Linked DNA regions of Arabidopsis thaliana. The protein of the gene in region 1 purifies or fractionates together with the protein of each later gene. This does not show direct contact. Each region holds a gene or a part of one and is shown on either strand. Other genes may lie near its edges.

The links.
Region 2: the proteins of CHC1 (region 1) and ARP4 purify together in Arabidopsis thaliana (affinity purification with mass spectrometry; 2 studies listed by BioGRID, with this or other methods). This does not show direct contact.

Annotation. Positions count from the first base shown.
Region 1 is NC_003076.8:4,566,136-4,574,039, forward strand, and holds CHC1 (SWIB/MDM2 domain superfamily protein), read right to left. Parts: upstream 4,860-7,904; 5' UTR 4,739-4,859; intron 4,330-4,738; 5' UTR 4,310-4,329; coding exon 2,778-4,309; intron 2,634-2,777; coding exon 2,561-2,633; 3' UTR 2,345-2,560; downstream 1-2,344. Other genes in the region: AT5G14150 (Emb:.1 protein, putative (Protein of unknown function, DUF642)), read right to left, coding at 1-363, 458-518; AT5G14160 (F-box family protein), read left to right, coding at 1,198-1,522, 1,599-2,332; MPL1 (Myzus persicae-induced lipase 1), read right to left, coding at 5,307-5,629, 5,703-5,798, 5,885-5,964, 6,051-6,091, 6,188-6,331, 6,435-6,545, 6,643-6,783, 7,857-7,904. UniProt on the Arabidopsis thaliana protein: Involved in transcriptional activation and repression of select genes by chromatin remodeling (alteration of DNA-nucleosome topology).
Region 2 is NC_003070.9:6,346,305-6,353,994, forward strand, and holds ARP4 (actin-related protein 4), read left to right. Parts: upstream 1-1,743; 5' UTR 1,744-1,894; coding exon 1,895-1,907; intron 1,908-1,996; coding exon 1,997-2,088; intron 2,089-2,203; coding exon 2,204-2,368; intron 2,369-2,445; coding exon 2,446-2,519; intron 2,520-2,594; coding exon 2,595-2,675; intron 2,676-2,765; coding exon 2,766-2,826; intron 2,827-2,963; coding exon 2,964-3,013; intron 3,014-3,155; coding exon 3,156-3,210; intron 3,211-3,415; coding exon 3,416-3,493; intron 3,494-3,570; coding exon 3,571-3,624; intron 3,625-3,698; coding exon 3,699-3,752; intron 3,753-3,821; coding exon 3,822-3,882; intron 3,883-4,037; coding exon 4,038-4,089; intron 4,090-4,437; coding exon 4,438-4,504; intron 4,505-4,629; coding exon 4,630-4,692; intron 4,693-4,776; coding exon 4,777-4,839; intron 4,840-4,935; coding exon 4,936-4,998; intron 4,999-5,093; coding exon 5,094-5,158; intron 5,159-5,246; coding exon 5,247-5,315; intron 5,316-5,416; and 3 more. Other genes in the region: AT1G18440 (Peptidyl-tRNA hydrolase family protein), read left to right, coding at 1-28, 99-183, 405-472, 586-636, 722-795, 975-1,033, 1,117-1,193, 1,269-1,382; AT1G18460 (alpha/beta-Hydrolases superfamily protein), read left to right, coding at 6,378-6,418, 6,988-7,161, 7,250-7,655. UniProt on the Arabidopsis thaliana protein: Involved in several developmental processes including organization of plant organs, flowering time, anther development, flower senescence and fertility, probably by regulating the chromatin structure.

The DNA of each region.
Region 1 (7,904 bases):
AGTTATGACTGTAGCTCTGCCATGAAACCTTACTGTAGTTTTGTCTGTAAGAAAAGACCGCATTGCTGTCTGGCCCCGAGACACTGAGACCAGCAGAGCTTGTACAGTTCTGGCCTGCGTGGATCAGTGCGAATGTGAGGATGTAGTTCAATTCATCACCTTTGGCAATGAATGTTTGATTGATCTTGCCATCTTCACCGAGCTGAACCGCGTGTCCGGTATCAGGCAGTTCAACATAAAGCACTGTCCCTTGGAATGTCCATCCCGGGAGTGTACTGTTCTGATCCAGCGATACAGAGCTAGCATTTGAGTTTGTAGGTAAGTTTAACGGTGGAGATTCGAAGTCTGGATTTTCCAAAAAATCTGCATATCAAAATGTACAAACTTTAGTTTATCAATTTGAGTTCTGAAGATGAAAGAACAAATATATAACGAAGCATTTGAGATTCCAATGTACCTGAAGAGGCGCAACAGGAAACGAGAAGCAACAGGAAAATTCTCTGAAACCATATCGCCATTTTGCTTCAAACTACAAAGAAAACCTTGAACGTCAACGCTTCTTGGATCCAGTGAATGTGTCTATTAATTAGTAAAATATTTAACGAGAAGAATGATGCTGTAACATGTTAGCATAAAGTTGATCATTAATAAATATATTAATAATTCTCTTTCACCTTAGTGGACTTGTCTTTGAGTTGTGCACAAATGAGAAGACTAAACACACAGATGGTTTGAAGAAGCCAGGGCCATCATCCATATAGTAGAACTGTGTCTTTTTGGATCTGGTTCTAGTGTTTGTACATTTCAGGAAACAAAAGGTTGGTGAATTGAGAGTGTGAACAATGTTCTATTTAATTTGGTTACTCCAACCTAACTCTTAACTCACTCTTAGACTCTTAGTGGTTGGTGTATTGACCGAATTATTATTTTTAAGCAGTCTTGAAGACATACAAAACATTGCATAATCGTAAAAAACAAAAGTCACGAAATGAAATAACCTACTAAATACTTGTGGAATTACCAAAATATTTTTGCCATAAATTATTATGTTTTTTTCTCGAACATATATACTGTATATGATTACTACGTATCAAAAGCAAATCCTGATTGAATTTGGAATTTGATTTGGTTTAGATTGCCTCGTCATAACTGGCTTTAGAAAAGTAAAAAGAGTGCAGTTTGTGACGACTTTTAGATATGGCTTTGATTCACAAACGTCAAGCTCTCAATTCTAGGGGGGTGGATTGGTCGGAGCTTCCTGAGGATGTGATCAGATTGGTTCTGCGACGGCTGAGACTCTCGGATTTTCATCGAGCTAGGGCGGTTTGTTCCACTTGGTGTAGGGTTTGGGGAGACTGTGTCTCCAAACCTAATCAGGTTCCGTGGCTAATTCTTTTCCCTGATCCAGCACAAATCAGACGCAGTTGCATGTTGTACAATCCACAGGAAGAAGAAAACGTTTACACAATTCAAGACCTTGGTGTGGATCCTTGCCTTGCAAGTTGCGGCACCTGGCTCCTCGGTTAAATCTATATCTTGTGAATGTGCTAAATTTGGAGAGGATTAACCTAGTAGCTATCGAGTCTCAACGTGACCAGCTCTTTTCAGCGTACTCTACAGAAAAGGTCATTTTGCAAGCAAAGCCGAGATGATGGGATACCCTAGTACTGATAAGGCAGTTGTGTGGATAGACGAGAAAACTAAAGACTACGTAGTTGCTTGCAGCTGGGGTGGAGACAAGCATGCAGCCTTTTGCAAGAAAGGCGATTGTGAATGGCGCCAGATTCCTCCTTTGTTGGGGTGTAGTGATATTGCCCTCAAGGACCACAAACTTTACATTTACTATGAGGATGGTAGCATCGGAATCTCGGATTTGAAGTTTGTAACAAAAACTGCTCATGTTCAGCTCTATCCCTTTCGCTTCCGCTTGGGATCTTTTAGCCCTTATGATACAATTTGGACAGACTATCTTGACTGGAAGACCAACATAGTAATCACCATCTCTGGAGATTTTTTGATGGTTGGCTGCGTTCTTAAACGTCGTGACCTTTCCTGGCTTTTTCGTGGCGACCAGGCCGTGATCTTGGATCTAGGTATCACCGTGCAAGCATCCTCCGATATCCAAGGTATTACCAGAAACTCCACCTATTTCAGCGGTCTTCCATCTAGCCAAAAGGATGTCTTCGTCTTCAATCTCTCCTCCCAGAAGGTTCAACGCCTTTCGTCTTCTTCTATCTCCTCCAGACCATTCTCTAATGCTCGCTGGCTCTTCCCCACTTCTTACTTCACAATGATACTCTTTCCAAACATTTTCGTTTTTGTTCAACTTTAAGTGTTTTTTTTTTTTAATAATGCCAATGTTATTTTCCTTTTGCTAATAAAAACATGACTTAACCATTAACGCAAAGGCTACAAAACAAAGCTAATTATATAAAGTAGTAATGTTTCAACATACACAAGATTACAGATACACTAGTTCACTTTTAAACCAGACTAATCTCAACAATATCTTCTACTAAAAATGCTCAAACAGATGAAGAGACTTGTATCGTCAAGAAACTCACCAACTCCCTGGCCCATCGTTCCCAGCTGCTGGCCTCCGGTTCAAGTAACGTATAACTGCATCTTCGACCCTGCAAACATTTTACCCCAAATTATGATTCAGAAACATTTTACAACTCTTTGACCAAAAAAAAAAAAAAACATTTTACAACTCTTAATACATATCATCTGTGCGAATAAAGGCCAGAGTAGCAGAGTCTAGATGATTAGCTTACCAAGGTTGGTTGAAGAAGTCTGATCGACGTTCTCTCTCAGCATTTCGACTGGCTTCTCCCGCAACGACCTTTAGATCCTTGCTCTGAGATTCGATCAGGGCGTTTATGAATTCAACTGGCGATTGGCTGAACCCCAAGAAAAATGCCCGCCTCCTCCTATGCTCATGGATTTTCCTTATGGCTGCACATATTGCTTCATCACAAGCCTCAATCTCTTTGTTCTTCTCTGCGTTGGCTAGCAAATTGTTCAGATCTCTTTGGATCGGGAAGGGTACATCCACTAGCACATCGTAACATGCTGATACGGCCGGATTATTTCCTGAGAGCTTGATTTTGTGTTCTAAGTGAATAGGTGGTGGAGGCGACAAGTGATGAGATATTTTCTGAGAGACCATAGTGAATTTCAACTTTTCTTCTCCAAAAACTTTCTGAAGTGCAGCATCACAGTTGAAGAAAGAGGGGTCATTTGGGTTCTGCAGTTTCCTCGCCTTAACGTAATGCCAAATTGCAGCGATGATTCTTGGGCGGGTTTCAACCTCAATCCCGAGAACATCCATCAATGCAGTAGAAAGCTTGAACTTTTCAGGGACGTAGTTCATCTCCAACCGTATACTAGCAGCAAACTCCTGATTCCCTTTCCTCTTTATCTCAAAGCCTTCCTGAGGAGCAGGTGATCGAGCATTCTCCCATATGATCAATGGGTTCTCAGGATACAGCCTCTGATCCAGGGAAACTGTAACCCTTTTGAAGAAAGACGAGAATTTGGGATGCAATGGGTTTGCTTTCTGAACAAACCCTGGCTGGTCGGGATCCACCCCATCTTCCAGTATCCTACCAATAATTTTAAGAGTCCATGTTGGCGGGTCAGCATTAGGATTCCCAGGGATCGTGTTGTTTTGGTTAGCAAACGAGTTGAAAACGTAGATCCTAAGAGTCTTCTGTATGCAGGGAGGGTTTTTAAGGGCTTCCTGGATGTCAACTTTCTTTCTAGTTAACGCAGCATCAACCCGAGACTCAAACTCCAGAAGTTGTGTGTATAAGGCAGACTCTGGCAAGATTGCAGCCACCCGCTCCTGCAATGACTTTTCTGGAAGCTTTTGTTTCTTTTTCCGAGCAGCAGGAGTTAACTCCATTGTTCTCATTGGGGAGATAGTGTTGTTACTCGCAGGAGCACCAGGAGGTCGCATCGGCGGTTTCTGCTGGAATCTCTTCATGTTTAAACTTCCAGGAGTCGTCAAAGAAGGAGAAGAAGGACCCAAGCCACCAATCCCCGGAGAACCTTGTGCTTGGTTCATCGTCATGCCTTGAGCTTGTAACTGAGCTTGCAGTTGTGCTTGAACTTTAGACTGTGCTTGAGCATGGGCTAGGGCCTGAGCTTGAGAGAACTGAAACTGAGCTTGAAAGTTAGCTGCCATATGAGACTGAGCAAAACCTTGGTTTCCAGGAACAGATGCAGAGGCCATCCCAGGATTCCCAAAAGGCAAAGGCGCAGAGCCTTGAGGCTTTTGTGGATTGTTGTTGTTACCAGACATTGCTATATAAACCTATCAGCCTGAAAAATTCAGAAACAAAAAATAACACTCTTGAAAAATAAACTTCAATTACACCTAACGTATCGTAAGCTTATCAGAAATCTAAGACATATATGCAGAAATTCAGATGAATGCAATAGATCGGTTACCTAGAGAAATCGAAACCTCAAAACCCTAATTTTCTAAGATTGCTGCAGAGTTCAACTAAATAGGAGTAATACCCAGGCTTAAAAACAACGTCGAAGAGAAAATGACTGAAAATGCGAATGAAGAACTCGATTGGAGAATTTTTGAAATATACTACTAAGTGGCCATAGAAAGATCTGGAATTTACAAAATCCTAAGAGATACAAAAAACAGAAAACCCAGAGCCTATACACCATAAAGATCGAGAATTCCTTAAAAAAACGAAGATTCGCAGCTTGGTACCTGCTTTTTTGATTCACCTTCTTTCCGGGATTCACCGGTGTTCCGTTGCTTCTCAGTTGTCGAGACTCGAGAGAGAAAACAAAAACAAATGCCCACCGGAGCTATCTATTTTACTGTCCGGGTTAAGACCCGACCCGTATTTTTAAAGCCCACATTGAGTTATATCAAACTGGCCCAACTTTAATCCATGTGTTTTTTTTTCAACGACAAATCCACATACAATTTGACGACAAAATTAAAAAGAAAAGCATTCCACATAATTTTGTTTTACTATAGTTTTTCGTTTCCTTTTTTTTTTTTTGTCAAATACGAATCTGTAGTTTTAGTGTTCTTTCTTAAATATACCTAAAACTAGGGTAAATTAGATAATGGTTGCCCCATTGTTTATAGATTAAAGAAAAAAAAAATCTAAATTAAATATTGGGATTATTTTAATTAGAAGCTAGTAGACTGGTATACTTTTTCATAAAAATTTTAATTTTATTTTTGCCCATTTTGTTTAGAGGGAAACAATTGAAGAATATGGGCACATGCAATTACATAAACTAATGACAAGGTAATAATATTATCAAGCTTGTCGTTTGAAAAAGGTAGCAACTTGGTTATAAACAACGTCTTTGGCAGTAACACCCATGATGAAATCAGCATGAGCATAGTCTTTCACAAACTGCACATTCATCTTATCGATGTCGTGATACTTAAACTGGTCAAGGAGAAACTCAACGTCTTTCACATCAGCCAGGCTATCTAAACCACCGTAGCTGAAAAAAAGCGGAAGCTCGTGTGGGATCGCCGATATGTTGTATGCCGGTGGTATCGCTTGACCGTAATGTTTTATGTTGCGATCACTGCTTCCATAGTTGTATTTTCTCAACTCCTTGTCTCTTACCGCTACAAATAAATAATTTGAACAATTTAAGGTTTATAAAATAATTTTTAAAAAATGGGAATTTGTTTCACTTACTTTGAGCAAGGTGGATCATGTTCTTGGTGGAAGTAGATTGAGGTTCGTTGGCAAGGAACAGATCAATGGTTGATGCGTTAAGGCAGCAATTCTTTCCTATGTTTTTGTAAAATTACGTTAATTAATATATGTAATTAATTCATCAATGGTAGATTGGTGGACTTTTTTAGTTGTAGCGTTACCAGTGATAACAGAGACTAAATCATAACAGTCGATCCCCGCTTTAAGGCATATAGCCTTTATAAAATCCCCTACTAATCCACTGCAAATGTTGTTTTAACTATTTTACGTAATCAAATCAAGCCAATAATAACAAGCATATTTTAAGAAAAAAGGGTGAAGATTTACCTTTTCGGGTTAAACTCTGGCCATCCAAGAATAGAGGTGGCCTATTTTTGAAAGACGATAAACAAGTTATTTTCATAACTGTAGGCACATATTTGTATAAGAATAAAAAAGGGTATTACAAGGGAGAAGCTAGGGACCTCGGCGAGGAAGGTTTTTGCGGCGATATCGCCGATGACGGTGGTCATGTGGCTGAGATAAGCAACGGGACTCAACATCGCCGCCGATCTCACTTGATCCACCAACCCTTTTTCTGAGAACGAAGCAAATCCTATTAACGTCCCCTGACAATTTCCATTTCATTTTTCATTCTATTATGAGAAGATATATTACTATAAGAAAAAGAAAAAAATCAGAGAAAAAATATGTTGATAACGTTGGACCCACCAAAGAGTGTCCGAGGTAGTGAATCTTTTGGCCTGTTAGGCCATGGATATGGTCAAACATAGCAGGCAGATCGTAACTCACAAGCTCGTCCCACGTCCAGTTCCAGAAAGCCTAAGTCCACAACGTGCCAACGATGTTAAATATCAGTTTCCTTAGTAAAGATATATACGTAATCTACTGGTTAAAACAGTGGTTCACTGAACCAGACCCGTTGAGAAGGGTTAAGGTACTTGTGTCTTCTGCTGAATCTAGTCCCTCTTGTGTTCCCCATCCACACATCGAATCCTTGATCCGCCAAAATCAACGGCAGATTTTGATCCGCTGGATTCAACAGCCATGACATCCCATCCTGCACATTTAACTCATGATTATTTGACTATCATAGTAATGTAAACTATAAGAAATTAAAGGACCATGTTGTCAAAGAGACAAATTACAATTCTGCATACGTACGACTGTCGTCTCTGTCCACATAAAACTTAAAACATAAGGCAAGTCATAAAGTATTTTCTTTCTAGCAGGCTGATGAAAATAGTAGTACTGATCTCATCAAGTTTTGTACTTATGCACTTTATCGATGATTTTTAAGAATTCGATGAGTACCAGAGTCGAGAGTCGACACGGTTATTTATATAATATCACTTACGTACGGTACAATCATTCTTCCATACCAGAAAAGTTGTTTATCACTTGAGTTTATTTTAATTACCTTTCTAGTAACGCTCCAATTATCACTTTATTTGTTGGACACACATGTTTAACACTCATGCTGTCTCTTTATTTAATGTTTTAATTTTACCACCACTAAGATAACACATATGCACATTCTTTATCAAAAAAAGATACAGACATTAATCTAATTAATCTTACTTGTAAGTTTCAAACTCGCACGCACATACGATATAAGGATAAATGTACATATATATATATATATATATATATATATATATATATATATATGTATGTACATACTTGTTGATGAGGCATCCACTGGAAGTATACACGTTTGGTTTTGGCCCACGTGTATATGTCTATTTATAGATGTAAATCATCTTGAAATAATATATGCACATATTCTCCATTTGTATAACTTCTGAAAACGGGTATAAAATGTTCTCCTAATAATGTTTTTCTCACTATCCCTTGACGTCACTTTCCACTTTTTCTTACTTTCAAAAATTTATGTAATGGAAAACAGCTTCAATGTAGTAATCAGATATTCCGAGTGCGATGCAGTGGTTTAATTACAGCTATATATGTTTTTAATAATAGACTTTGTAGTTTGGATGTATTTCATGCATGTTGGAACAAAGTTTGATATTATCACAATAATTATCTGCACATAAAAGTAGCATGCGTGTGTATACACAAGTTAATTGACGGTTAAGGCGATGCAAAAAGGTAAGGAAGAGTAAAACTTACGACAAGAATTCCATGTTGTATTAGGACAGGTTGTCTCTTTCCCCCATC
Region 2 (7,690 bases), on another chromosome or scaffold:
CAAGAAGTACCAGGGCACGCGCCACAACGTATGTCTCTCTCTTGCTTTCTCACTTTGCATTTTCCTTTTCAGCTCGGTAACGTGATCATGAATTGCAGGTTGGTTTTGAGATGGTGGACGCTTTGGCTGATGCAGAAGGCATCTCCATGAACACTGTTAACTTCAAGGCCTTGTTTGGGAAAGGTTCTCTTTTTCATTCTCTTATCTTCTCCATTGTGAATTTTCATTTTGAAATGGTTTTCTTATCTCAAAGTTTGAAACTTTCAAATTTCATACGTCTCAAATGTTTGATGAGGGTGATAGAAACAATGGCTAACTGTTTCCGGAGAATGAATATTGAAATAAATATCATTTTCTGTCTCTGGTTTGTTTCTAACTTTGGGTATTGTTTTCCTTTATCATAGGCGTTATTGGAAATATACCGATTATGCTGGCTAAACCACAAACTTTCATGAACCTAAGTGGTGAGTCTGTAAGTGAGCTCATCGGAAACAAACTTTGGTTTATTTAGTTAACCAATCTCTTTAACTTTTATCACTTGTTATTTTGATTCTTTCTGTTTATGATTGCTGGAATTCTTTGAAGGTTGGACAAATCGTTTCATTTTACAAGATCCCGTTAAAGCAAGTACTTGTGGTATACTTAACCTTCTCTCTCGCTTACTCTCCAAATTCTGGCTCTAGAGTGCATATGCCGTCTTAATTTTTTTTGTCTTTTTCAGGTTTACGATGATTTAGATTTGCCCTTTGGTAAACTACGTTTATTGCCAAAAGGTGGTCACGGAGGCCACAATGGGTACAATGCTTTTCACTCTCTATCTGGCCTGTTGATGTTTTCATTTGTGTTTTAACTTTTAAGTATTGTCTTACTTTTTACTTAAGAAGCAATGTGGATGGATAATAGTTTGCGGTTTCACTATCAAATCATAGAGAAACTCTACAAGAAAACATGATGGGTTGTTCTTTTACTTGCAGGATGAGAAGTATTATAGACCGCCTCAAAGGTAGCCGTGATTTTCCTCGACTAAGAATAGGTACAGTTCTCATTTTTCTCCACTCCGACATATCTTCCCATTTTCTTCTCTGGTTTTGCAAATTGTCGAATGTTTCATTTCAGGGATCGGACGTCCTCCAGGGAAGATGGATACAGCCAATTTTGTTCTCCGCCAGTTCAATAGACAGGAACAGGAAGAGGTAGAAGCAGATTTATCCCATAATTATCTCAAAAAATTTCAGAAAGACATAACCTGATTGTTTTTGGTTTTGCAGTTGGATCACACATTCCAAACCGGGTTAGAGGCAATAAGGATTCTTTTGCTTGAGGGGTTCAACAAAAGTGCAACATTTGTCAACACTCGAAAATCTATGGAGCAACTCAGTTAGAAGTGACATTGTTACATTACATATATTCATATAACAAACTACAAAGTGTTCTTGCTGATTCATTAATAATTTTTTTTTGGTTCCATACTTGAATCCTTTTTGAGCAAATTGTACATCAAAAGATAACCAGATTATTTGTTTATCATAATTTCTATTATGTAACTCGAAAATATGGATTTCAGTATTTGTTCGGCTGTAATTTAAATTATACACTTTCATTAAGCATAGACATTTTATTTGGCAATAAATCAGCTTCGTTTACTGCAAAAAGGGTGGTCACAAAAGTTGGTTCGGTTTAGAAAAATTGTGTTCGGTTCGGTTAGTTTCTTGAATAATTTAAACCCGACGGATTAAATGAGAGGTTTTGTGGTCCCCACAACTCGAACTCAGTAAAACCAAGTCGACCCGATTCAGCTGGATCCGAGATTACAGAGAACCCCGTCCCGTGTTTAAACCCTCCGGCGACAAAGCTCAGATAGAGAACCGCTCCACCCTTGTCGTTCGCTGCAGCCATGTACGGCGGAGGTGGGTTTCTCTTTAAACCCTTGAATTGCTTTGTCGTTTATCTTTTGAGACATTCCTGAGCTGTTTTTTTCCGTGGTGGGTTTTCACAGATGAAGTGTCAGCTATTGTGGTTGACTTGGGTTCGCACACTTGCAAGGCTGGTTACGCCGGTGAAGATGCTCCCAAGGCCGTTTTCCCTTCCGTAAGTCTTAATTACCAGCATTTTATGTCACTATAAGCTTAATGGTGTTATTGTAGATTTGCTCAAGTCCCTTGTATCTTCAGACTCTTAGTTTTTTTTTTGATGTGTTCATAAGGTTATTGGGGCAGTAGATGGTGTAGAGGCAATGGATGTGGATGTTGATTCTACAAAGACTAATTCGAACTCTGAGGATTCGAAGACCGAGTCTGAAAAGGAAAAGAGCAAACGCAAGCTCTATGTAGGATCTCAAGCCATGAGCTACCGCAGAGATCATATGGAGGTTAGTTTTTCTCCTTGATTAATGTTAAAGTTTATAACTTTGTTGGTGAAATTACAGATTGCATTTTCTCTCACCAGGTTTTGTCACCTATAAAAGATGGCATCGTTTCTGACTGGGATTTGGTGGACAATATATGGGAACATGCTTTCAAGTAAATGTGTAAAGCATTATATTTTCTCTTAATTGTTGTTTGCATTTCATCTCTAAAAAAACTTTGTCTTTTAAGGAGTTGTCTGATGATTGATCCTACGGAGCATCCAATGCTGCTAGCTGAGCCTCCTTTAAACACTCAACAGCAGAGAGAGAAGTATGATTTATCTGCTTTGAAATATCCTTTATTACCACTGTTGCTTTATCTTGGTGTGTTACTGATTTTCTCAAATCATATGCTTGACAGGGCGGCAGAGCTAATGTTTGAAAAGTACAAAGTTCCGGCACTGTTTATGGCTAAGAACCCTGTATATTCCCTCTCCCTTGGGTCATCATTCTTTTTGATAGATTATTATATGACGTTCACTGTAATGTTGATATCCAGTCAGCTCTTGTGTAATCAGATGTCTAACTATCTACATGAATTTGGTGTTTTTGGTGCTAGGTTCTCACGTCTTTTGCTACTGGGCGTGCTACTTCTTTGGTTGTTGACTGGTAAGACTTTAAGTATTAAAAGTTTCTCTAGTATGTAGAAGCTACTAATGTTCCACTTCTGCTCTATATGCTGTGAAAGTCTACCTTGTTCTGTATGGTGTATAATTTGAGAAGCACTGATGACACTTTATTGTATTTCTAGCGGTGGAGGATCCACAACCATTTCACCGGTGCATGATGGTTATGTTCTTCAGAAGGTACTTGTATTACACGATTTAGTAAGAATTCAGCTTTGTGATGCTGTTTCTTTGGGTTTGGATTTTGTACTGCAGGAGAAAGTTTCCCATCTCTCGTTTCCATAGTCATCTGTAGCTGCTATAAATTCTCATCCATGTGAATTATGACCTACAGCATTGATGTAGATTGTGATTCTCCGATTGTTGACCATACTTTTATTCGCAGGCTGTTGTATCGTCTCCACTTGGAGGGGAATTTCTCACTGACTGCCTACTGAAAAGCTTGGAGAGTAAAGGAATTAAAGTAGGTTAAAAAAATTCTTCACTGTTCTTTTCTTTTAAGCCAAATTATCTGAGTGATACTGGTTATTTTTTCTGCAGATAAGACCTAGATACTCTTTCAAGAGGAAGGAAGTACGAGCAGGGGAATTCCAGGTGCATATGTGGATCAGTGAATGAAACTACTAGCAGTGAATAGTCTCTAATTTCCTCCCTTTGAATCCTTGCAGGTTGAAGATGTGGATATTCCTGACACCACGGAAAGCTACAAACTCTTCTGCCAGGTCTGTAATTGATTATGAAACTTCGTTTGAAAATTTCAGTTGTGATAATTTGGTGATTTGTTTCAACAGAGGATGATAGTGGGTGATATCAAGGATTCCATTTGTCGAGTTCCTGATACTCCCTATGACGGTACCTTATGTTATTCTGTCTGTCTCTGGTTTCATAAATTTGTTTTATTTCAAAGTTTAAAGTTGCTTGAGAGTTGAACGTTAGATACTTTTTATCTTTCAATGTCATTTGATCGCATAGCCTTAGTTTTTCTGATGTGATGCATTTATCTGCAGATAAATCATATTCAAACATCCCTACTACGTCGTACGAGCTTCCTGATGGCCAGTAAGCTCAGTTTATATGTCTATTTCGGTTTATTTGTGCCTCAAATGTACATGCTACTGTTGCTTTTGTTTTCTACGTATAAGGTTTGAGCTTAGTTTCTAGCCAAATGTACCACTGCTCTGAACCTTGTTTAAGCTGAGATAAGTGCTTAGTTGGATCTGAGTCATTAAAGCCATTGGGCATAAAAGTTTAGAAGAGTCAGACATTGCTTTGGAAACCTGCATGGAACCTAATGTTCATAATGAGAATTAAGTTAAAAGAAAAAGTGCTAGCTTCATTGAAGACAGGAAGCTGCACCTGTAATTTTTGTAGTCTTTCTCAATATCTTATTAACCATGTCTGTTGAAGGACGCTCGAGATTGGTGCTGATAGGTTCAAAGTTCCTGATGTGATGTTCAACCCGTCCATAGTCCAGGTACACCATTTGAGCACGATAAATTCAACAGAAGATTCTGAAGACATTTTGTTTCTTATCTTGAGCGTTTTGAGCCTCGAATTATTTATCAAAGGTTTCTTCTCCGTTTTTATTGCAATTTGCAGACGATTCCTGGAATGGAGAAGTATGCTGAGATGATTCCTTCCGTTCGTGGGTTACCACACATGGTATATGCATGGTATTTAGTCATTGCAAAGCTTCCATCTCTTAACTTTTTCTAACTTTACTCTCCATTTTACTGACTTGTACAGGTCATGGAGAGCATCAACAAATGTGATGTAGACATCCGGAGAGAGTTGTATAGTAGCATACTGGTAAAATAGCAATCAATGCCAACTCTTAAATACCCCTACTTTTAGTTTCGTTGGATGTGGATGATTAACATTTCCTTTCTTCTCGCATTATGCCAGCTTGCTGGTGGCACATCGTCAATGCAACAGCTGAAAGAACGTCTCGAAAAGGACTTGATCGAAGTATTGTGTCCTAAACTCTTTTCCTCTGTCTTTAAAGCTATCCCAGTTTTTATGATGGCGAAAATCATTCATTGGTCCCTCTATCTTTGTTTCAGGAGTCTCCTCACTCAGCTAGAGTTAAAGTGTTGGCAAGCGGTAACACAACAGAAAGAAGATTCAGGTCTGGATTTAGTGTTCACTTCTTCCTCTATAATGAGACCCAAATTTTTTTGCTTGGATCAACCAACAAACATGTTATGTATGTGCAGTGTATGGATAGGAGGGAGTATATTGGCATCACTAGGCTCATTTCAACAGATGTGGTTCTCCAAGTCTGAGTAAGTCTCTGTTCTGATTTTCCATTAATCAGACTCGCAAAGAAACTATAGTTTGTTTTCTCTCCTGACACTCGGATTTGGGGTCTTGGTGTAAATGGCAGGTATGAGGAACATGGAGCTTCCTACATTCAGAGAAAATGCCCTTAAAGCAGGCAGTTTCAGATTATGTGGAGTCTGACAAGACGAAACTTGGAAACTAATGTGTTATTTTCATTGTGCATCGTTGTTCCTTGAAGATTATTAGTATTCCGCCTGAACCTTTTAGAATGAGTGTCATTAACAAGCATTATAGTGCTATTTTAAAAACATAAAAACATGTGGAAGAAGTTTCGTTGCTTTATTAGATTTTCGCACAATCAAGACCGTCCACGTTTTGTTACTACGAACCAAGATAATCCACAAAATTAACAAGAAAATAACAAATCCGAAACTACAAAAAGCAGCTTCATAAGTTTTCTTTTTCTTTTTTAAAAAAGAAGAAAAAATCAGCTTTATCGTGCCTCTCAAAAAGCTAATGACTTCGAAGTTCCAAAATTCCGGTCTTCGAACATATTTTATAGAATAGCAAAATGTTTTGAACCACAAGATTATTAATAATATAAATAATGTAATTGATATTGGTAAGTAATAATACTTTTATTAATCATAAAATGGTCTGAATAATAATAAAGACAAAATGGACGTAACTTCTCCGCCACTACAGACTTACGTGTCATGTCTCCATATCCGCATGCAAAATCCAATAGATGACACATTCTAAATCATCCAATTATATACGCCCACGTGTCAACCTCTGTCTCGTCTCTCTAAATAACGTTTACCGACCTTCTCTTGTGGACGGTAAGAATCGCCGGCGTCCCCTAATATATCGGATTTCAATCCAAAGACACACTCACAATTTAAAAAAAAACGTTTCTTTTCTCTTCGATTCCCGATTACGGCTTTTGATTTTGTGGGACTCTTCTCAGTTTTTCTGGGCTTTTGGTTTTTGGATTCTATCTTCTTTCATTTTTCAGATTTTTTATTTTATTTTGTTGTATTTCTATATTGGGAAACAAAATCATGCAGAGGATCGTCGATAATGCTCTTGCTATCACAAAAGAGTGAGTCCCTCTCTCTTTTCGATTTCACCATTAGTCTGTGCACGCTTATTGATTTTGTGATTTCTGATTTGTTTTTTTAGTTGCATGTTTAGTGGTTTTAGTAATTTGATATGTGATTTCAACTGTTTTGTTTCCTTAATTTGGATTTTAATTCGATTAGATTTTCTCAAATAGTAATTCGATTTGCTTTAGATATGGAAGTTGCCAAATTTTGAGCCAGTGGTTTTATAGTGGAGCTAGGAGCTAAGTCTATATCTTATATCTTCTGATTTACATTAATCTTGAGATTTAGTGGTATATAGTTTTACTAATTTGGGGATACATTTCTGATTTACCATTTTTAGTTAGTTGTTGAAGGTTTGTTGTCTCTTTGAAGAAAGTATACATATTGACTCTTTGTCCTGTAATAATTACAGCGATTCTCGTTGTATCTGCGGATAGTTTTCTTTGTTTAATGCTTGTCTGTTTGGGTTTTTGGTGTTCGTTGTGGGTTTTTGATTGGTATTAGGATTGTTTGTGTTAGTCTAAAATAGTTTTAAGCTAACTAATGATTTTGGTTTTTAGTGCAGGTCAGTGAAAACTCTGACTTATGAGTCTTTGAACAACATTGCAAGATGCATTAATGGATTTTCTGCGCTTCTCTTGACACTTTTGCCCGGAAAGTCCAATGTTCTTGAAGGTCTTCATGGATGGGAGCTTAGGCCTACATTGCGTGGACCTCGTTTACCACGCTGGATGCATAAGTAAAACTCTCTTCAACTCTCTAATACTTCTTTGTGGTTACCTTATAGCAGCTTATTCGACTCTCTTTTGATTTCTGTGGTTTTGCAGTGGAGTCTCTTCTTTCAACCACTTCATTCACGAACTCTCTGTGGATTCTGATACTTCTAGCTTGGACTATTCCTCTGGTGATGATGATAGTGATGGCATGTCCACGCCTCCATCACCCTTGTCTCAAAGCTCACTCCGCTCTTGGGCTAGTCTTCCTGCCAATTACGAAAGCCATTGGACAGACTGGATAACCTTCATTGTCTGGTGGGCTTTACTACCTGCCCGGATCCTTCTATGGGTACCATTATATCTTTTACGTCTTTTAGCTAGAAGAAATTCAAGAATGCAGCCTCTGAGCCCAGGAAGGTACCAACATTCGTCTAGACCTTGTTTTAGCAAAGCTATCTCAGGGAAAGAGCATGACGTGCCCAACCGAACTACTGATAAAAGACGCGGAGTCATTGAGGTTAGTGTTGATGGGCATACTTAAATCACATTTCT